Tamandua tetradactyla: one gene and its partner. The protein of the gene in region 1 purifies or fractionates together with the protein of each later gene. This does not show direct contact. Links are inferred from orthologs where the notes say so. Each region holds a gene or a part of one and is shown on either strand. Other genes may lie near its edges. The genes, in order: tumor necrosis factor receptor superfamily member 10B-like and CFLAR.

Region 1 (11,678 bases):
AAAAGGAAAAAAAACAACAATAAAAAGATATAAAATGTTCTGCCCATTCTGTAAGAGATGTCTATTTAGTACTAAATATTTCTCATAAAAAATAAAATACTTAAAAGCAAACACTTCTGCAACAGGAGGATAAACTTTTTTAGATCTTGAGACACACCCATTCATGAAAGGGAAATTCCAGCCAGATTCCAGAAGGAGCAGTCACTCCTTGACTTACTGATTTACAGTATTTGGTGTTATTCAACAATAAACAAATTTATTCAATCTTACTATATACTAGGCACCCTAAAATCCATAACTTTAATAAGTCCTCATATTATGCTTTAGAAGTAAACAGTAACAAGCTATTAACATTTTCACTATCCCCTGAGACTGCTTTGCTTTATTCCAAAAAAGAAAAAACAATTTCCAGTCTTCACTTTTGGCTGTTATACAAGAATTGCAAATGCTTCCACCTTACATCATCTAAACCAAGAAACGGAACCTGGTCCAGATCTCCCACTGGGGTCTGCAGGCTTTGTTGGGGAGCAAGGTGGGGCCTTGCAGAACCTGGGTGCTAAAGGCCTTTGTAGGACACAGGCACGGAGTTTCAGTAAGTTAGTCTTGAGCTCAAAGCACCTGACGATGTTTTCACTTATTAAATGGAGCCAACAGAAAAGCATTTTCTTATGTTCTGGACATGAATTTGTAAGCAGGAAACCATACTTATTCAGAGACTTTGAAAAAAAAAACAGTAAGTGTATTGTTCATACAGCCTCAATGTCCAGAAAGGAAACTGGGCAATGAGCCTCCTTTATTTGTTTATTCTCTTTTTCTAGCTAAGAGCAAAATAGATACTTGGAAAAACGTGGTGAGGGACTTAAAAGTCAAGGATGAATAGGTGCTCTATCCAAGAGGACTGGTGGAGGGGGAAAGATGGAAAGTGGGGAGGAGAGGTTGTGCCGCAATAGATAAAACCCAGACATCATCCTTCCACATAGCACTACTCTCAATGCAACCTATTTAACTCTTAGTTTTCAGTCTGTTGCTCCTGGCAGCCTCCCGAGAGCAGGAGGTTAAAAGTCAAGGATGAATAGGTGCTCTATCCAAGAGGACTGGTGGAGGGGGAAAGATGGAAAGCGGGGAGGAGAGGTTGTTCCGCAATAGATAAAACCCAGACATCATCCTTCCACATAGCACTACTCTCAATGCAACCTATTTAACTCTTAGTTTTCAGTCTGTTGCTCCTGGCAGCCTCCCGAGAGCAGGAGGTTAAAAGTCAAGGATGAATAGGTGCTCTATCCAAGAGGACTGGTGGAGGGGGAAAGATGGAAAGCGGGGAGGAGAGGTTGTTCCGCAATAGATAAAACCCAGACATCATCCTTCCACATAGCACTACTCTCAATGCAACCTATTTAACTCTTAGTTTTCAGTCTGTTGCTCCTGGCAGCCTCCCGAGAGCAGGAGGTTGTCCTCGGCTCTGGCACATGGTTGGGCACAGAGAGATGGCCTGTAAGGCTGACCCCATGTCTGGGTGCCCAGCACACAGGGCCCTAGGCTAACCCTTTTGGTGAGTTTCAGTGCCACTGACGAGGCTCACTGCCCTACGACCCACAGGTCTTATTATTCTAGGTTGATCTATGGACTGTATGTTTGTGTGAATGGAGAAAGGTATGTAAAGTTTCTTCTATCTAAAAATTTTGTATCTTCAAACACAAAATATGTTAATAAGAGCATCACTAACATTCTGATACAGCTTTTTTTTTTCTGATACAGCTTATAGGATAAGTTTCCTAGACTGCTTAAAGAAAATACTATGAAATGACTTGACTTGAACAATGGAAATTTATTGGCCTTCAGTTCTGAGGCCAAGAAAATGTCCAAATCAAGGCATCAGCAAGGCGGTGCTTCCTTCCGGATGACTGGCTGCCAGCAATTCTTACCTCCTTTGCCACATGGCAAGGCACACAGCAGCGTCTGCTGATTCCCCTTCTCTTCCGAGTTTTGTTGATTTCAGCTTCTTGCTTCCGTGGTTTTCTCTGTCTCTCTGTATTCAACCTATTTATAAAGGAGTCCAGTAGGAGGATTGAGTCTCATCCTGTATAATGTGGGTCACATCTTAACTGAAGCAGCCTCATCAGAAGATCCTACTTATAATGGGTTTATAAACTAGGAATGGACTAGAATAAAGAACATGTTTTTCTGGGGTACATACAGCTTCAAACCACGACAGATTCAAAGCCCAGCCTCATGGACTCACCCAATGGCAGAACTCTCATTTTTCTGTGAGTGTCATACAGCAAGTTCCTTCTCCTGGAGCTGATTGTGTCCCAGAGTACTGTTCAGTGGAGTGGAGGGACCAGGGACAACAATATGCAAATGGTGGCAGCAGCCACAGATATTGGAGGCCTCGCCCAGATACTGGCAGATGAAATGAAAGGTAAAGGGAAATAAAAGAAGCTCTGTGGTGTGGGATGGACAGTATTTGGCACCTGCATTGCTCTGACAATGGATATGGAATAATCAAAGGTGACTTAGACATATGTCTTTGAACCTGGAAACAGGGGAGGGAGGACAGAAGAAAGAGATGTCTGTTTACCATACTTCAAACATTCTATCAGAGAGAACCTTAATTTTATAAATTGCAGGGGAAAAAAAAGTAAATTTATCAGACCATTCATATGTACTGGTAATTAAAGTCCTAAAACTGTAGACTTCCCGATAGAAAACATGATTCATTGCTCATAAAATCATCTTTTTAAGTCATGGTAAGTTGGTCATTAATTAACAAATACTTATTTTTAAATGCCTGGGCAAAAAGTGACAACCTGCCTATCTTACTCTCTAAGTATTTACATTTTGTAAACTAAAATTGAACCATTTCTTTTTTTTTCTGCAATTCAAGGTTTCTTTAGGGTAGTGTGGTTTTCAATTCAGATTCTCTACTTCCTGTATTGGCTTCTGCACAATTCTGAGTTGGGAAAGATAATCTTCAGGATAGGAGAAGTACCTGGAATCATAAGAGAATTGTAAAATTACATCTATTCTGAGATTGTGAAACAGTCTAGGAATGCCATCTCTCCTGGCTGAACAATGGGCTGGAAGCCCCTCTCGCCACTCTGCTGCCAGTCCATCCTTACCTGCCCCTTCCCAGGCAGCAGGCCATCCTGGGCACTTTTCAGGGACAGGAAAAGGGTCCGTGAGGCATTCTGCCTGCAGGAACAGAGCCAGGAATTGGAGAACTTTAGTCCCCCGACCAAATGACCAGCTCTCCACCAAATTCCCCTCATACAGTCTTCACACCAGCCTCTCAGTAATTCTCAGCTCACCCCCAGCTCCGAGGAAATTCTGTGCAAGTGTTAAAAAAGAGGGGGATCCAGGGGTGTGGACCTCCCTGGCAACGTGTGACAGAAATCCTAGAATGAGCTGGGACTCAGCATCAAGGAATTGAGAAAACCTTCTCAACCGAAAGGGGGAAGAGAGAAATGAGACAAGTTTGTCAGTGGCTGAGAGGTCTCAAACAGAGTTGAGAGGTTATCCTGCAGGTTATTCTTATGCATTATATAGCTATCCCCTTTTTAGTTTACTGTAGAACTCTGTTCCAGTGGCCATGTTTCTTGAAGATGATGGTATCAAGATATAGCTTTCACAAGTGACTGTGTGATTGTGAAAACCTTGTGTCTGATGGTCCTTTTATCTATGGTATGGCCAGATGAGTAAAGAATATGTCTTAAAAATAAATGAATAATGGGGGGAAATGTTAAAATAAATTGAGTAGATTGAAATACTAGTGATCAATGAAAGGGAGTGGTAAGGAGTATAGGAAAAAATAGAGGGAACAAAGGTTAAAATAAATTGGGTAGGTGGAAATACTAGTGGTCAGTGAGTAGGAGGAGTGATGTATGAGGTTTTTTTTTTTTTCTTTTTTCTTTTTCTAGAGTGATGCAAATATTCTAAAAAATGATCCTGGTGATGAATATACAACTATGTGATGCTATTGTGAGTCATTGATTGTACACCATGTATAGAATGTTTGTACGTTGTTTTGGTTTGTCATTTAAAAAAATTTGGAAAAAAAGAAAAGAAAGAAAGAAAAAGAAGCGGGGAATCCATTTCCAAGGACGTAAAAGGAAAGATAATCAAGGTATAACTTAAGTGTAAAAAGCTCCAATGTTCAGAAGGTCAAAGAGTGCAAATCTATTCTTTTCTGAAACATATTGCATGCATACAGGGAATTCTGAGGGAACATCCCGAAAGAGTTTAACAGGTTATCTCGGGAGCACGGATAAGGGAATCATGAGGACCCCCAAATTTCATAGTTCTAGGTAAATTTGATTATGTTTAAAATTGACACGCGCCCGTTCGTCACCAGGAGACTGTAAAGATGCGCGCGAAGTCTCTAGCCCAGAGCCCGGGCTCCGAGAAAGACGTCGGGGTTGCGGACGGTGCGTCTTCTTCACCGTGGCGGGCACGCGAGCTCCTCCGGACCGCAGCGCATAGCCCAGGGCAGGGTCCCCGGACAATGCACTGCGCGTGCTACTCGCTGGGCACCGACTCTACCTGGCGCAGGTGGAGGCGCCCCGCAGAGCATCCCTAACTCCGCCCTCGAGGGTCAAGCGTGCTAGGGTGATACTAATTCCCCTCCCGCGGGTCCACTTAATCACCAGGAAAGTGTTCCTCCGCCACCGCGTCGTCGTCTGCCCGAGCTGCCCTCTAACCCCGGCCCGCGCAGCGCCTTCTTGCCGGCCGCGCCCCTCCCGGGAGCCGGGGGCGCGCCCGGGGTCCATTGGTCCTGGCGGAGACTCGAGACAATTCTGGCCCCGTATTTCGTTGAGCTGAAAAACTCTTCTTCTTTTCCGTAGTGTTTCACGTCGAATTTTTCGTTGAACCACATTTTGGGGAGCCCGGAAATTGTATGTTTGTGTGTGTGTGTGTGTGTTATTAAGTACAAAGATCTAAAAAGCGGTGTCCTACAGATGGAGTGGTTCCCAGCGCTCAGCGCCCCTCCCTGCTCCACAGCGGGGCGCATCCTCACGCCACCCCTGTGCTGAAACCTGAGAGGCGAGGCGTGTGGCGTTGTGCGCGGTCAGACAGTCGGTGAGTCAGACCCAGGACTGGGGGTTGGCGGGCGAAGCCCTCTCCGCTGCGCTGGCCTAGTAGAGCCAGCCAAGTAGAGTCCGTGGGCCCCCGACCCGTAAAACTGCGACGAAGCCTGGAGCTGCAGGCGCCCTTGGGATTGCCTTCCCCTCCCACCTAATCTCCAGCCTTAAACCGCTCTGTGAGCACCCGGCAGGCAGGACCTCGATTTAAGAGGCATTGAGTTTACAGGACTCCACCGCGTCCCAGGTTAGCTACCGAGGTGGGTACGCGGGGACGGCTGGAAGGACCTCAAGACCAAGGATCCCTCTCTAAGTCCTTCGGTTTCAGGTGAGGAATAGTCCCCAGAGGTTCAGCTTCTCGGAGATTTTAAAGAATCCAACAGGGAAGGAAAATCCCGAAGAAGGCCGGCTTGGGTTCCTGGGGCTGCTGAGGCAGTAGGGTAGGGATGGCATTTTAATTGGCATAAAACCTTGAGGGCAAAAGAAAGAAGACTGACATGGTCTTATTAGAAAGCAGAAAGTGGTGATGGGGAGAGGGTGTGGAAGCCTCTGTGAACCCAGTCCAAACCCTTCGAAGGAAAATTGCACCACAGAATTTTAAACAGACAAAGATGACTTTATAGCTACCATGGAAGGGGGGAGAGAATAGAACTCAGCTCCCAGGAAGACAGAGTGGTGGTGATCAGTTTTATGGTCGAGGGAAGGACAATGGAAAAATATCAGTGGGCTATGTGGTGTGAGAGGGAAGGGGAATACGCTTGATAACTTGGTAAAATTAGTATCTGAAGTTGTCTGTTTTCTTTTCTGCAATACTGTTAGTTTTACTGTGCAGCCCTACAGCTCCAAGTCCTACAGGTTGGTCAAGACAAAGAAATCTTGGTCCGATCCTGCAGGTCATATCCCGTGTGTTCTCGGTTTCGTCCACACATCTGTTCGTGGAGCATTTGCTCGGAGCCTGGCACCCGGCTGTTGAAATGCTGAGGTCGAGGCCCCTCCGGGAAACCCCGCGGTAGGACAGAGCAACTTGGTGAGCGACTCCGGATTCAGTGAAACCAAGATCCAGTGAAGCCCGGCCGCGGATGGAGGGGAGGGACAGAGGTGAGGGGGCCACGGACGGGAGGCAGAGGGAGGGAGGTCAGTATTCCAGGGTTTACGCGCGGGAAAGCCAGATGCGGCTGGATCCGGACCTGCCTGAGCGCCTTCGGGTTCAGCGCCGAGACTACGGTGCCTGCGAGTTGCCGAATGCTCCTCCCCACCCGCGGCGCGGTGGGGAGATTCTGCGGGAGAATCCCTCCACCGATGCCCCACCCCCGGGGCTAGGCTTTAATCCCCACATATTTCTCCCCCGGAAGCGCTCGCAGAGAGGGTGCCAGCATGATTGGCCCGCAAGGCAAACTGTTGATTGGAATTGCGACCTGACTCGTCACCCCGCTGGCGTTGCGCAATCTATAAAAAGCGCTGCATCCGGCGGGATTCCCGCAGATAGACTCCGCCGCGATCTGGGACAGACGGCTTACCGCTCTTCTCTGAGAGAAGTACACGGATTGACATCGCCGGAGTTTAAACCCCGCGCGCGACCCGCCGGCGACCAGGGGCGCCGCGGAAGGCCATGGCACCGCGAGGCCAGAGCGCCCGCCAAGCCTCCGGGGCCCGAGTCGGGACCTGGGTCGGATCGGGAGCCAGGCTTCGGCTCCGGGACTCCTCGCCTTGGGGCCTCCTGAGCCTTCTCTTCCTGGCCGTCTTCCCGGTGAGTTAGCCGCCAGAGCGGGAAGGCGGGCACGGGGTGGGGGAATGGGGCGGTGGTGGCACGGCGGCCCGCGGGAGTCTCGCCCCGCTGCCCCGGGCGGGGCATGCCCGGGCAGGGCGAGGCCTTCGGCGCAGTGGAGGGCGGGACTGGGTCCGAGCCGCCGGGCTGAGCGACTGTAGTGGCGGATTTCAAAACCCACCGGGCGAGAGCAATGAAGTTTGTCATGTCCTGAGCCAACCGAGAAGGGGTCTGGTGCCCTGCAAGTGAGCGACAGAAGGATTCTCTTTTCTTTCTTTCTTTCTTTTTTCGATAAATGTTTTAAATTCTAAAGAGTACTCTCGTTGCAAAATGGGTGAAATTAATGCCAGCGAAAGTAACTTTCTCGTCGCCGACTTCCGCACCTTTCTTTTTTCCTGAGATGGCCGCTCAGAAGTTGAACAGTTGCCCGACTTTCTTCCAATCATTTCTTGATATAAACTTGTGCGGGACTCTTTTGAAGCGACCAGCGATCGCATGTTCTGGAAGCCAGGGTGTGACGCTGTTGATCTGACTGAGCCATGCAGTGCTGAGCGTTCTGAGAAACTCGTGGGGAAGAATTGTGTAAACTTCGAGTATCTTTTTAGGTTAACTTGGCCAAGGTCTGGCCAATTACATATTTGAAATTGATCGAGTTTAAAAAATAATAATAAATAATTGCCAAAACAAGGTTACAAGAATCATGAAATTGTTTTTTCATTTAGCAAATAAAAACAATTTAGAAAAATAATAGCATTTCTGTATTCACATGTAACCACAGACTTTGTTTTCAAGCTATCAGTTTAGATTAGGTAAGACCCAGATTTCCTGTAGCTTGTGAATAGTTTTAGTCTATTTTGTCTCCAGATTGGATTGGAAGGATAACCTGTGTGGCAAAGATAAAAAATCTGAATTTGATGAATTTGGGAATGTGAGACCTAGGCCTTCTGGCATTCCAAAGCCCCCTCCAGCAACCCATAAGTTTTGCCTTTCTCTGTGCATTTACGGGCACAATTATATATTTTTTCTTAATTCTGAAGCAAGAAAAAATTACATCTGCTCTTCTATGTCATACCTTCAGATTTCTTTTCCTCTTTTTATTTTTTTTTTAAAGCATAGTATTTTATTGCATGTGTAAGCAAGTATGGGTGAAGCACAGTTTATTTTACCGTTCTCTCCTATGGATAGCTGTTTAGATGATATCCTTTTTTTTCTTTTCATTTTTGCAAATTCCAGCAGCATTACTGCAGATATCCTTGTATGTACTGACGTGTTCCTGTCAATGGTTTAAGTCTTTAGAAGTATAATTGCTCAGTATGCGGGTTAAATTATCTTCGAAGTTTGTTTAGATGTTGCCAAATTGTTCTCCAGTACACTGTCATCAAGTGTATACAAGTGAATTTTCATTCTCTACTAGTCTGAGAGGTAAAAAATGGTGCATCCCAGTGTTGTGTTTTTGTTTCTTCCATCCTACTAGAGATTTTCAAGGACCTATATGTGTTTTGAGACTGGAAGCAAATCAGCTAGGAGACATCACACTGTTAGCAGGGGAGGGTGACAGAGGATTGGAATCTCAGCTCTGCACTTGAAAACTTTGTCAGCTGAGGCTTGACTGCCACCCAGCCACGCCTGTAACATGAAGATAACAGTCCTTGGGCTGTAAAAACGATTGTATCAGATGAGGCCTAGCACTGAGCTTACTTCTTGACTTTAGAAGTTCCGACAGGCTGTAAAAGATCTTGACCTTGGCGGCTGGAGCCAGTTGGGCCCTACTTTGCCCCTTTCCAACTTTGTGACCCTGGTGCAGCCATAGCTTCTTCATGTGTTCAACGTTGAGATCTGGGAGCCACTGTGGCGGATGTGTGAGCTTGTGTGGGAGGGCAAATCACACTGTCAGGGTTGACTTGGGTAAAAAAAAAATCCGTTTATTTAATGCTGTATGATTCCTTTTGCTTGGGGTTTGATGAATTTCTTGGACCTATAGATTTAGAGTTTATTCCCGCGTTGGAAATTTTTTGGCTATTAGTTCCTCAGATATGTGTGTGCCCCCTCTAGCCTTCCTGGGTCTTAATTACACTTAGGTTAAAATGCTGCATGTTGTCTCAGAGCTCACTGAAAGATCTGTTCATTTTTTTCTCAGTTGTTTTCTCTCTGGGTTTCATTTTGAATAATCCCTGTTGCTCTGTCTTCACGTTCATTGGTGTTATGTGGTGTCTGATTGGCTGTTAATCCCATCCATTTTATTTTTCATTTCATATACTGTGTACTTTTAATCTCTAAGAAGTTCCATTTGGGGCTTTTCAGTATCTTCCATCTCTATTCTTGTCATGTTCTTGTTTACCTTCACATCTTTAGCATATTGATAAGATTAATAAAGACTGTTTAAGACCATCAGTTCCATCATCCCCGACTGTCATAGTCTGGACTGGATCTATTGATTGATTTTTACTTTTCTTAAAAAAATTTTTTTTGCCATTGGGGGATATTTTCCTCCTTTCCGTGCCTGGTAATTTTTTTATTAAATGTGAATTTTACATTCTTGGACATTAGATTTTGTTGTGCTCCTTTAAGGTGCTGGATATTATTTTGGTGATTAAGAAAGTTGAGTGTCGATTTGATCCTTCCAAGGATAGCTCTTAAACTTTGTCTTGTCTACATTGCCTATTTTGTGACTGAAAGATTGTATTAGTTAATTTCTTAAAACTCTACCTAGTATCCTCTGTGTTAGGTCTTTCTGCTCAGTCAGATGGAACATGACAAATCCACAGCCCGGTGAGCTTTGCTAACTGTCCGGCCTCCTGATTTTGGATGCTTCTCTTCTCCCCCAAGGGTAGTTTGCGCCCATAGGCACAGATCAGCCCTCAGCCAAAGACTGGAGGGTACCTTCACTCTTGTGGTCCCCTCCTGTGCTGCAGCTTGTGAACTCTTTAGGCACTGAGCCTGGCCATCAGTAGGCTCACCTCCTCATTCACTCATGATGTAATTAATAGGCACTTCGCACTGGAAAGTCAAGACTGCACCTTGGAGGAGGGAAAAATTGAACCCTCTGTGAATCCTGCTCCCTGGAGCATATGATCTGGTTGAGAAGTTGAGACCAGGGACCAAAATATCTAAAATCAGGTAGCATGAGGGAGGCGGGAGACCCCGAGGGGTTGCAACGGTGGCCGGAGCTGTCATTCCTCCATGTTTTGACTCTGACTGGAGTAAGGCCATGTGGTTTGTGGTATTGCTGCCCTGGAGAATGTGGTCCAGATTTTTCCTGGGAGATTACAGTCTGCGTTATGGGTGGTTATTGTACTAATGACAGCACGTGCTTAGCTGTAGCACTTCACTGTGTATGGGAAGCTCTGGTTATAACACTTACATACGTGTTATCTGATTTGATTCTTAAAACAACCTGACTGTAAGGACTGTTATGACCCTTGTTTTCCGATGAGTAAGAGAAAATTCAGGAAGTTGCTGAAGGGCACTTAGCTGTTTGGTGGAGGGCTGGGCAGGGGTGGTGAGCAGGGCTGCAGGCAGCGCCAGGAGAGGCTTGCACTCAGCCAGTACAGACTGACTGCTGGGCGCACCCCAAGGGATTTATTTAATCCTTAAATAAATGCTTTTGTGTGAAGGGCTTGAAATAAGCCCCCTTATTTCAAGAAAAATAAACAAGAATTTAGGAGGAAAGGAAGTGATTGACCCCAGATCATTTAACTGTTCAGTGGCTGACCCAAATTGAGGTCAGATGGCTTGATTTTTAATCCAGTGTTCTTTTTTTTACTACTCTTTCATAAACAAACTAATAAGCAGAATCCTCTGAAGAAGATCTCGGGGCCACAGAAAAGAAGACCTTGAGAGCAAGACTGACAGTGATGTCATTGTCTTTTAGTCTACTCAGTTAAAGATTAATGGGGCAGGGTGTGCACGGGTGGCTCAGTGGTAGAATGCTCTCCTCTTCCATGCAAGAGACCTGGGTTCGATTCCTGGAGCCTGCCCATGCCAAAAAAAAAAAAAAAAGAAAGATAAATGGGGCAGCTTTCAGGTTGTGCTTGGCCTGAAGAGGGCACAGGACTACTACTCAGTTGCATTGCCTTTCAGGAAATAAGTAGCAAGTACATGGGTCAGACACTGTCCAACTCTTGCATCATTTGTGGGGGAGGAGCAAGTACAGGAATTCCCCTCAGTTATTGCCCCACCTCTGGTTGGAGGGCCCGGATCAGGAGGCTTTACGTAGGCCAAGAAGTGTAACCTCCCTCCCCGTTCTTCACTTTGTCGTGCTGTTCGCTGCTCTCTCTTTCTCTTTCCCTTTCCCTTTCCTTTCCTCCCCGCACCCTCCCTGCCCCTGCGCGCGTGTGTGCACACACACACACACACACACACACACACACGTGCACACACACACACATGACTCAACTCGGGCTCCATCAGAGACAACCACAAACTCCAGCTCTTCGTCCCTTCCTTTTTCTTACCCCCCTCCCCCCTTTTACTTCATCTGGCCATGGTTTCGTCTGTGTGGAATTTTCCTTCTATGTCCACCAGTGTCCCTGCCACCAGGACAGGCCGTCCAGGGTCAACCTGAGGGGTTGTCTATACCTCAGCTTCCCCATCAACCAGAAGTGTCCTAGAGACAAGGAAGGGCAGTGTTTCATCCCTGGTTCTCCACGAGACGTGGGCAGTGCTCACCAGGGGCCGGAGATGTTTCCATGCAGGAATGACTCGTGCTCTCAGAGGTCTGGACCAACGCTGATGTTCAATTAACAATAAATAAGAAGGAAAGGAGAAACAGGAAATAAAATAAGCAGGACAAACAGAAAATAAATGGTAAAGTTGTTGACCTATTTCAACCAAAT
Region 2 (11,795 bases), about 150 Mb from region 1:
CGGCGGGAACCTATTTCCGTGAAGAACCTTGTTGTACTAAGTAGGTGCTGTTGCATCAGCCAGGGTGGCCATGTTAGCCCAGTCGCCATCTTAGGCTAGCCTCTTGTCCCCAACAAAAAGAAAACAGAAAAAAGTTCATACATACCATACCCCCCACCCCTCCCCCTCACCGATCACCAGCATTTCACTCTAAATTTATTTTAACATTTGTTCCCCATATTATTCATCTTTATTCCATATGTTTTACTCATCTGTTGATAAGGTAAATAAAAGGAGCATCAGACAAAAGGTTTGCACAATCACACAGTCACATTGTGAAAGTTATATCATTATACAATCATCTTCAAGAAACATGGCTACTGAACACAGCTCTACAGTTTCAGGCACTTCACTCTAGCCTCACTAATATACCTTAAACTAAAAAGGGGATATCTGTATAATGTGTAAGAATAACCTCCAGGATAACCTCTTGACTCTGTTTGAAATCTCTCAGCCACTGACACTTTATTTTGTTCATTTCTCTCTTGCCCCTTTCGGTTGAGAAGGCTTTCTCAATCCCTTGATGCCGTGTCCCAGTTCATTCTAGGATTTCTGTCCCATGTTGCCAGGGAGGTTTACACCCCTGGGAGTCATGTCCCATGTGGAGAGGGGGAGGGCAGTGAGTTTGCTTGCCGTGTTGTCTGAGAAGGAGATAGGTCAAATGTGAGCAACAAAAGAGGCTCTCTGCGGGTGACTCTTAGGTGTAATTCTAAGTAGGCTTAGCCTATCATCTTTGCGGGAATAAGATTCATATGAACAAATCCCAAGATTGAGGGCTCGGCCTATTTCTTTGGTTGTTCCCACTGCTTGAGAGAATATTCCAGGGATTCTCCAAATGGGAGAGTTGAAATTTCCCCCTTTTCTCACCATTCCCCCAAGGGGACTTTGCAAATACTTCTTTAATTCACTGTTCAAATCACTCTGGGATTTATCGGGATATAACACCAGACAGACTTAAAAATTCTCATGCCCTATTCAAAGTTGCATGTATTTATGGTGTTCAACAGTTCTTTTCATACGTTGCTGGACATTTGTTGAGGATTTTTTTTTTTTGTATGCTGTATGGTTGTCAAGGATTTTTCATTCATATTCATAAGATATATTCTTTAGATATATATATCTAAAAAGATATATATGTCTAAAATATATCTAAAAGATATATTCTTTTCCTGTGATGTCTTTGGTTTTGTTATCAGCATAATATTGATCTCATAAAATTAGTTGGAAAATGTTGTCTTCTTTTTTTTGGAAAAGTTTGTGAAAAATTGCCATAAATTTTTCTTTATATGTTTCATAAGATTCAGCAGTGAAGGCATTTAGGCCTGGGCTTTTCTTCGTGGTTAGTTTTCAGATTCTGTTTCACTTTCATAGATCTATTCAGATTGTCTATTTCTTCTTAAGTTAGTTTTGGTTGTTTGTGTCTTTCTAGGAGTTTGTCCATTTCATTGAAGTTATCTTTTGCTGACATACAATTGTTCTTAGTATTTTCTTGTAATTTTAATTTTTGTAAGGTTAGTAGTAATGTAATTTCTTTCATTTCTGATTCTAATGATCTGAGTCTTCTCTCTTTTTGTTTGTTTAGTTTAGCTAACATTTTTTCGATTTTTTTGATCTTTTCAACAATAAACCTAATTTTGGTTTCATCTGTTGTTCTCTATTTTTCTATTTCATTAATTTCCACTCTAATCTTCATTATTTCCTCCCTTCCACTTTTGTTTACTACTCTTTTTCCAGTGTTTTAATGTGGAAGTTTATATTATTGATTTTGGATTTTTCCTCTTTCTTAAAATAGGCATTTACAGCTATAAGTTACTCGCAAGCACTACTTTCCCTGAATCTCATAAGAAAAGTTTTCTCCTACTTTCTCTGTCTCTCCTCTCCTTCTGGTACTCCCATTGCAAATATGTTGGTGTGCCTAATGGTATCTCACATATATCTGAGATTCTTTTCATTTTTCTACATTCTTTTTTTCCTCTCTAGTGTTTGGCTTGCATAGTTTCTGATTTAACTTTAAATTCACTTATTCTTTCTTTTGCCAGTTCACATCTACTGTTGCACTCCTCCAGTGAGTTTTTCATTCAGTTATAGTATTTTTTCACTCCAGAATTTCTATTTGGTTTCTTTTATAATTTTTATCTCTTTATTGATATTCTCCACCTGATGCAACATTGTCATCATACCTTACTTTACATCTTTAATCATGGTTTCTTTTTGTTCTGTGAACATGTTTATAATGGCTACTTAGGAAAGTCTTTTTCTGATGAATCTTACATCTGGTGGCTCTGTTGCCTGCTTTTCTTCCAGTGTATGGGCCATACTTTCCTGTTTTGTTTACATGCCTCATGATTTTTTGTTGGAAACTGGACATTTTAGATAATATGTTTTAGTAACTCTGAGTACTAGTCTTCCACACTTCAGGGCTCGTTATTGTTATTTCTTAGTTTAGTGACAGGTTGGATTATTTTAGTGAAGTCTATTACCTGCTTACTCCATCCCTTTGTACCACACCCCCACCCCCACCCCCACCCCCACCACCAGGTTGTTAAACTTCTGATGTTGCTCCTCAGGGAAGTACAGCTTTGGGTCTATCTATAGTCACCCCGAATGACTGGCAGGGCTCCCATCATCTCTTAGCTTGACCACACATAGCTATTATGCTGCTCTATGTTTTTAACAATGCCCTGGGGCATAAATTGCTCTACAACCAATCCAATCTAATTCTGGCAACTTTGAAGGAACAGTTTTTAAAGTCAATGTTTGATATTTGTTAAGACCCTAGGAGATTTCCTTCCAGTTCACTCATTCCCTGGTTCTCTCCTGCAAATTAGGAGGCTTACTATTTAGCATGTATCTTGAATTTACTTCCAATTGTCTTTCATTGCAATCTCCATGGTTTTTGAGAGTGTCTTCAGGCTTGAACTTCTCCATGCTCTGTTACAAATGAAGTCTGTTCCTTTGGGAGGTGATTAGGAGTTATCTGTCTTTTGACCTGCTTCTCCCCCAGGCACAATATCTGATTCTGGAGCTGGAGGTGGGAACAATGTTAAACTACTCTGGAGTAACACCCCTGGTCTAGAAGCTGAGCACTCAGTCAAGGGAGCTCAGGAGCAGTATCTTGAGGTTCCCTTTGCTTGCCTTTCCTGGCATGGAGCCACCACCTCATGAATGGGGAACATTAAGATCCATAATCTTAGTGCACTGGGCTCAAGGTAGAACCTTTGTTCAACCAGTGGGGACTGAGTGGAAGAAGGAAGTTCCCTCTTTTCAATTGCAACAAATAATTGGGGCAGGATGAGAAATGCTGATGTTTTGCTACTTCCAGGAACTTTCGACCTGGGACTAGGGGAAGTGGGAGCCCTGTGTTCTTGGTTGCAGCAGTCTGGAATTGGGAGTCTCTGTCTCAAAAGCTGAATGGGGCTGGAAGGCATTGGTTTTGGTTCAAATGCAAGAGACTCTCATTTCTTAGTGAATTTAACAGATTTTCTTGAATATGATAACTGAACAAAGGTAGCGGGTTCTTAACCTGATGACCATAACAGCCAAGCCATAGCACTGGAGTTTCAAAAAAAGAGCGTTTAATGTTACGTGTGAAGCAGATCAAATGGCCTGAGGGGCCAAGGATCTGTCTCCTGGAGTCTAGGAAGACTGGGTTTTTTTTTTTTTTTTTTTTTTTTTTTTAAAGGAAGGAAAGACAGAGAAGGAAGGAAGGGAAACATTTTTAAACATTTTCTTGTTTTATTATATTTTGTTTGTTTGTTTGTTTTTTACATGGGCTGGGGCCGGGAATCGAACCGGGGTCCTCCGGCACGGCAGGCAAGCACTCTTGCCCGCTGAGCCACCGCGGCCCGCCCCAAGACTGGGTTTTATGGATTCAAGCAAGAGGAGATGAGAGTTGTTTCCATTATAATATCAAGTGTAAGCAGGGCTGACACCAGGCTAGAATGATCATTGCAATAGTAAGTATACACAAGGCTGAGATCAGGGTAGAATGACCATTATAATGCCAGACATAAGCAAGGGTGAAACTAGCTGAGTTTCAGTAATGTCAGGTATTAACTTCTGCCTATTCTACAATATAGAAAGTTAAACATCTAAATTGATTCAAAAATCATAATTGTTTGTTAATTCTTAATTTCTCAGTTATAATTAGATGTTTCTTCATTTGCTGTTTGCTTTTGGAACCATTTCTAGAGGTTTTACATGCTTTTGTTTGCAATTCTTCTGTAAGTTTAAAATGATTTCAAGAGAAGTTAAGAAAATTTAAAAAATCACAGGAAAGTAATTTTGGGGAACAAATAGGTTAAAACATAGAAAGCTCTTTCACTTTTACTATTATCATTATTTTTTTCACACATTAGTATTAAACAACAACAACAAAAACCCCACCTAGAACTCTTTCAAACAACCATTCCAGGTTCACAGACTATCCAGTCCCAGAAGCTATCAAAAGGAAACAGCAGTTTGGGTCACAGGAGAGTATTTCAACCCCCACACAGTGAATATCAGGTCTTTATTTTTATTGTGGTAAATATACATAACATAAAAATAATTTTAATTGTTTTTAAGTGAACAATTCTGTGATATTACATACTTGATAATGCTGTATAACTTTCACAACTACCTATTTCCAAACAGAAATAGGGTCTGGCTTATTTCACTTGACACAATGCATTTAATGTTCATGCATGTTGTAGTGTGTATCAGTTCATTTTTTTATGGCCGAATAATAATAATAATAATAATAATGATACATGAATACATTTGCTTATGCATCCATGCATTGATGGATAATTGAGTACTTCTATCTTTTGGTATTATATATAATGCTGCTACGAACATCGTCATGTAAATGTCTGTTTGGATCCCTGCTTTCAATTCTTTTTTTTTTGCATGGGCAGGCACTAGGAATTGAACCTGGATCTACAGCACAGCGGGCAAGAATTCTGCCACTGAGCCACTGTCCCACTACCCTTTCAGTTCTTTTTAATTGCTCTCTAGAAGTGGAATTGCCAGGTCATATGCTAGTTCTGTGTTTAACTTTCTGAGGAACCATCAAACAATTTTCCACAGCAGCTGTACCATTTTACCTTCCCAAGAACAATGTATGAGGGTTCTTATTTCTCCACATTCTTGCCAACACTTAGTGTTTTCTTCTTCTTTTTTTCTTTTTAATAATAGTTAACAGGGGGTATAAGGTGTTAACTCATTGCAGTTTTCATTTGGATTTCTCTAATGGCTAGTGATTTGAGCATCTTTTCATATGCTTATTGGTCATTTGTGTATCTTCTTTAGAGAAATGTCTATTCAAATCCTTTGCCCATTTTTAAATTGGGTTGTTTGTCTTTTTTGTTGTTGAGTTATAGGAGTTCTTTATATATTGCAGATATTAAGCCTTTATCAGATATATAACTTTGGATATTTTCTCCCACTTTGTAGGTTGTTTTTTCATTTGTAATATTCCTTGGTGCACAATAGTTTTAATCTTGATGAAGTCCAATTTATCTATTTTTTCTTTTGTGGGCCATGCTTTGGTGTGAAATCTAAGAATCCACTGCTTAATAGAAGGTTCTGGAGATATTTCTTCATGTTTTCTTGTAAGAGTTTCATAATTTTAGTCCTTATATTTAGGTTGTTGATCCATTTTGAATTAATATTTGTATATGGTGGTAGGGGTCCAAATTCATTATTTTGCATATGAATTTCCAATTGTCCCAACACAGTTTGTTGCAAAGACTGTTCTTTCCCTATTGAATGGGCTTAGTGCCCTTGTTGAAAAATCAATTGTCACAGATGTGAGGGTTTATTTCTGAACTCTCAATTCTATTCCATTCATCTATATGTCTATCCTTAGTACTACACTGTTTTTTTATTACACTATTTTTATCGTAAGTTTTGAAATCAGGAAGTGCGAGTCTTCCAACTTTTTTCTTCTTTTTCAAGATTGTTTGGCCTATTTGGGTCCCCTTGCAGTTCCAAATGAATTTGATGATTTGCTTTTACATTTGTGCAAAAAAGGCTGCTGGAATTTTGATAGGGATTATATTGAATTTGTAGATCACTTTAGTACTATTGACGTCTTAATATTGTCTTCCAATCCATGAACACAGGCACGCCTTTTTTCATTTAATTAGGTCTTTTTTTTTTTTTTTTTTTTTAAAGGAAAGACAGAGAGAGAAGGAAGGAAGGATAGAAGGAAGGAAGGAAGGAAGAAAGGGAAACATCTTTAAACACTTTCTTGTTTTATTGTATTTTGTTTCTCCGTTTTTTGTTACATGGGCTGGGGCCGGGAATCGAACCGAGGTCCTCCGGCATAGCAGGCAAGCACTTTGCCCGCTGAGCCACCGCGGCCCGCCCTAATTAGGTCTTTTTTTAAGAAGTGTTTTTAGTTTTCATTATGCAAGACTTTCACATCTTTGGTTAAATTTATTCCTAGGTATGTTATTCATTTAGAAACTATTGTAAACATAATTTTTTCATGATTTCTTTTTCAGGTAGTTTTCTTACTGTTATATAAAAACACCAGTAATTTTTGTGTGTTTATCTTGTACCCTGCAAATTTGCTGTATTCACTTATTAGTTTTATAGCTTCCATGTGGACTCACTGAGATTCTCTATATAGAGGATCATGTCACCTGGGAATAGGGATGGTTTTACTTCTTCCTTTACAATTTGGATGTCTTTTTTTGTTTACCTGATTGCCCTGTTTAGAGCTTTTAGCACAATGATGAGTTAACAGTGGTTACCGCGGGCATCCTTACCCTGTGCCTGATTTTAGGGGGAAAACTTTCAGTCTTTTACCATTGTTTTTTCATAGATGCCCTTTATCATACTGAAAAATCTCCATTACATTCCTAGTTTTCTAAGTGTTTTTTTTTAATGGAAGAATTCCAATTTGAATGCTTTTTCTGCATCAGTTGAGGCCTTTAACTTTTTCAGGGTGCAAGTTGACAGAAATCCAATGCGCAGCTAGGACACGGCTGGAAGGGGTGTGGACAGAGAAGCTCAAAGCATAGTAATCGCCCACGTCTGCTTTTAGGCTTTCGGTTTCTCTGCCTCCATCTTGCTTGCGCTTTTGGCGTCTTGGGGAATAAGTCTGGGAGGAGATCCTCGGCTGTAGGCAAGACGGTATGTACCCCTCGCTGGACTCCGCTACTGCTGCCCGCCAGGTGGCTGGCACAGTCAGCGACCCACACTCCCCAGGCTCCGAGACCCGGCGCTGGGTTTCCTTCTCAGCGTCTCAGCCGTACCCTCTCACCCTACTCCTATCCCTTCGCCGCTTCTCCCCAACTTGATCTTCCCAGCCTTGGCTCTGGGCCTGGGGTGCCCAATCCTGGCCACAGAAGGGGTGGGCCTTTGGGGTAGGTGACTGTGTCCTCTGGGTTCCTCCCCGGGTTTGCCCCGCCAGCGAGACGGAGCGCCCCCGCCCCCGCTCTCACTGTTGACCCCGCTCTTCCCCAACCCAGGTTTCCAAGAAGGCAGCCCAAGGCTTGCCAGCGTTCTCATCCCGCCTGGGCGCGTCGGGACAGACCGGACCTACCAGGAAGTAGCTCTTGACTAACACTGGCCACCCCCTGAAGCCCCAGAGGCGGCAAACAGGCCGGGGATCTTCTCTAGTCCCCAACTTTGCTTAAAATCAGCCTGAGAGTTGTTGCCTTTCTGGGACGAACTGTTGAAAAAGATTTCGCAGTTTTCCTTTCGTAAAGTTGATTTAAACGTTAGGACTCTTTATGCAGTTGTATGTGCATAAACTTTACCCAGCAGGAGCATCCGGTCTTGCAGGAGTTTTTTCTCTTTTTTAAGAACTTGGTGAAGTAGGTCAGAGCTGTTATCTTCTCAAAGCAGCTGCAGAATTGAATGTTTTGGCAGATTGCAAGGAAAGCTTGCCTTCGGAAAGTTGGGAATGCTTGACTGACGAGATCTTTTAAAGCCCCCAAATAACTCCTCCACTCCCCACCCTACCCCCCCACTCGCCTCCCCGCAGAGGCTTGGGGAAATGTAAATTAATTTCAAGATTTTTTTCGCTCAATGCCTGGACTTGCTCTGAACGGCATGTTCCTTTAAATATTAACATAGCACTGCAATGGAACAAAGGTCCTTACGTATGAATAAGTTGGTTGTTCAAAGCAGGAAGTAGTTCAAGGACGCTAAAGCCTACCAGAATGCTTTTATTGACATTTGAAATTTTTTCTTACGCAAAGAGGGGTGGTTCCAGCTTGCTACCTGTAGTAGGCGAGTTAAGTGAAAAGAATTTTGGATACTAGAGTTAAGTGACAAGAATTTTGGATACTGACAGTCTTACTAAAAGTAAGGCTGGGCTTGAGCCGCCCAGTTAGACATTTAGATAAGAGATTTCAGATAAACAGGAATTGAATTTTTGGTATTTCCCCCCCCCTGGTGGTTCCCTGAAATCTTTTCCTTCGGAGGAAGTAAAAACATGGCTCAGTTACAAAATTAAAGCAACAACAACCAAACAATAGAAGAGGCAGGGTTGGAAAGGAATCTTGAGTTTGTTCTCATACCGAAAACTTCCTTGTTTTAATGTCGTCAGATTTAACACTTGTTTTACTTGTAGATTCTGGCTGGGGTGTCCTGATTAAAATGGCTTTTTCTAACAACATTATGCTTTATATTTCTGTTTGTAACTGACATTTGCAATTCCTTTAACACAGCGTTAACGTCCTTAAACCCTCTCCCGAGCTCAGTTCACCAGCCGAGCCTCAGGGTCTGGATGTCCCTCTGCCCCCAAGAATCTTCTGCGACGGGGGTTCGCAGGCAGTTTTTTTTTTGAGCTGGAGCCCCTGGGACCTCTTGGAAGCTAAGCCAGAGTAGGTCTCCTGGGCGTCCCCCGCCCCTCCGCTGCCCCCTGGGGCTGGTGAGGTGCTGCCGCGACCGGGGGCGGTTAGTAACTCCCCCAGCGCCGCGTGGGCGGTTTCCCCAGCGTAATGGCCGTTTTACCACAGAAAAACACGCACGGGGCCTTGCGAAAGCTTCTAAGTTGCAGGGACAGGGCACTCCCCGGATTCAATTTTTCTAGTCGTCATCTGTCGTGGAGGAGGCGCATAGTGGATGTGCCAGACAGAGGTCGGGGACGCTGGCCTGGCGGTCACCCCTGGAACGCCTGGGACGCTTTCCTCCAGGTCCTCGTCCCATTGGGAGCGGCCACAATCCGGAGAGGCAGATCTAGAGTGTCCGACGAGATCTATTTCCCGGCCGAGATACCGTGGGAAGAGCCGGTGGCTGCGCCGGCGTGAATAGGTGGGAGAACCTTGCCCTCCCCTTTTTCTTTTGACTCCAGTCCCTCTGCGGATCAGCCCCTGAACTCCGGGGACGTCGGGGAACTGTCAGTCCCGTGCGCAAAAGAATTGAGTTTATGCTTACAGCCCTTCGAACCACCCCTGAGCCTTCTGGGCCCTCTCCCAGCACCCTGAGTCTACAGACGTGCCAGTCTTTTAAATGCCAGGAATGGACTCCATTTGGAGACAGCCTCGCCCTTGAAGTCTGATTATTTCTTCCTTGTAGAGTCCCAAGGACTAATTAAACTTGTGTTGATGGACTTTAACGCTTCCCTGCCTTTAATTCACTATAACCCTATGAATATTTTTTTGAGCTTTTTGAGGCCTGGCTGAGTTCTGGGTGCTGGGGACATTAAAAATGGATCTGAACTTGGTTCCTACCTCCAGAAACTGACAAGTTCTGTTGGAGGTAATAGAGTAAAGGTAATCTGTAATCAGGGCCAGGGCTTGCTAAACCTGGCAGAGGAGGAAGACATTTTCATCTGGGTAGGGGAGTAATGACAGGTCACAGAAGGCAGGTGTGTTCACATGCAGTTTTGTTTTACTTATAGATCAGTGAGATGAGTAAAACTACTATTATTGTAATATGCCCTATATCTCTTTTAAATTCAACTCCTGTCACCTCCTCTAGGAAGGCTTCACATACTCAGTGGCTCTTTCTACTTAACTACAGCATTCCATTTACCACTCTGTATTATATTTTTTCTTCAAAAAGCTTTTTTTCAGTCAATCTGTAATATAATTATCTGGTTTAAAATACATGGAAAGTAAGTAGAGGAAGCTCTCAGGAGTCCATTCCCTACAGATAACCAGAGGTTGCAATTTAATGTCTTTTACAGACATTTGTGCGCTCAAATTCAGTGCTTTAAAAAATATATGCATATGTTATTATTATTGTTAATTTTTTCCTCTTGTTTCTTGTGTTGCTGTTTCTCCAAACTGTGTTTCAGAACTGATGTTTTTTCTATTAATACTGCTGTTTTTCCCACATGTAACTCAATTCCCTGTGCTGTCAGTGTTCTAATGGAAGATTGGTTTTTCTAATGACTGTTTTTTGTTTTTTAGAATGCATATATCCTCAATTTACATTTAATTCATCAGCTTGTTCAGACATCCTGAGTTGATTATTTTTCCTCCCTAAACTGCTGTAGATTTAGAGAAAGAATTTCTTCTTTGATGCCATGCATATATGAGTTTATATACTTGTATGTATGTATGTATGTATGTGTGCGTATATATATATGATATATATGTATCACCTTGAATATATTCTTTCTAGATAAAATTTCTTCCTTTTCTACTTCTAGCCACTTTATTTGGACATTTAAATTTTTAGTCAAAACAGACCAACAGCTTCTTTGATAGTTTAGATATTAGTTTCTTATCTTTGGTAATTCAGTACTTATTATGAAAGAACTTACCATGAAAGAACTTACCATGAAAGAACAAAGCTCCCTTAATTTGATATCATATTTATCTGCATATCCAAGATAGTTTCTGTGTTCTATGGTGAACTCTTCAATTGGAGAAATGAATCTATCATTTATATCTAGGTACCTATATATTTTCATATTATACCTATATTATATATATATAATATATACCTATTATATTTGTATCTGTATCCGTATACCTCAGTTTTAATTGAAAAATCCTCTTGTAGCAACTTGCTCCAAGGTATACAATGTTTTTCAGACTCATGGCTTACTTCTCTTTTCTGATATTACAAATGAGAACCAAAGACTTTTCCACTTTTGAAAATCTTGAGTCTTTTTTTGAACCTCTTTTTGGTCTTTTGGGTTTTTTTTTTTCCATTTTACTTGAAGCTTACAAAATAGTTTTGATAAATCTATCACTTGAATACTATCCTGTGAGTGAACCAAATACCCTGCAACAATCAGCAAACACCCTTTTCAGTGTAATCAAAATTCAGTCGCCCATTCAGCATTTACTAAGTACCTCCTAGTGCTAGGGAATGGGGGCACATAGAAGATCTTCTCCTGCTGTCTGGAGCTCCAGCTCTAGTTGGGAATGGCGGAAAAGCAACAATAGATAGGCTCAAAAACTTACCCATGGTGTGCTATTGGGATCCCAGAGCTCGATTTCAATACTTGACTTGGATTCTATTCTAACCCATAGCTGGGTTGTTTTGATCTGGCAGCCAATTAGAAGGCTGTTCTTTCAGTGTCATGGTAGACCTGTTAGTAAAATGTTGTGGTGGCACAGGGATGTATTGTATAAAACTGCACCATAGAGAATGTAAATCAGTTTTTCTGCTTAACCTTTGTCAAAACATTATTCATGCTAAATGTGGAACAAGTCTGCCCTTATAGCCTGAGTGGTCACCAGGAATATCAAGGAAACTTGGAGGAGGAGCCAGGTAGGATATAAGAAGATGGGAACAAGTACACAGGTGCCAGAAATGATGATGAATGATGATGGTGCTGAAGCAAATGGAATTTT

The links.
Region 2: the proteins of tumor necrosis factor receptor superfamily member 10B-like (region 1) and CFLAR purify together in Homo sapiens (affinity purification with western blotting, with the first as the bait; 5 studies listed by BioGRID). This does not show direct contact. The link is inferred for Tamandua tetradactyla from reciprocal best matches to the Homo sapiens genes TNFRSF10B and CFLAR.

What each region holds. Positions count from the first base shown.
Region 1 is NC_135329.1:23,965,742-23,977,419, reverse strand, and holds the start of tumor necrosis factor receptor superfamily member 10B-like, read left to right. Parts: upstream 1-6,254; 5' UTR 6,255-6,687; coding exon 6,688-6,825; intron 6,826-11,678. UniProt on the Homo sapiens protein: Receptor for the cytotoxic ligand TNFSF10/TRAIL. The adapter molecule FADD recruits caspase-8 to the activated receptor.
Region 2 is NC_135329.1:175,639,303-175,651,097, forward strand, and holds the start of CFLAR (CASP8 and FADD-like apoptosis regulator), read left to right. Parts: upstream 1-7,032; 5' UTR 7,033-7,164; intron 7,165-7,502; exon of another isoform or gene 7,503-9,176; 5' UTR 9,177-9,294; intron 9,295-11,795. UniProt on the Homo sapiens protein: Apoptosis regulator protein which may function as a crucial link between cell survival and cell death pathways in mammalian cells. Acts as an inhibitor of TNFRSF6 mediated apoptosis.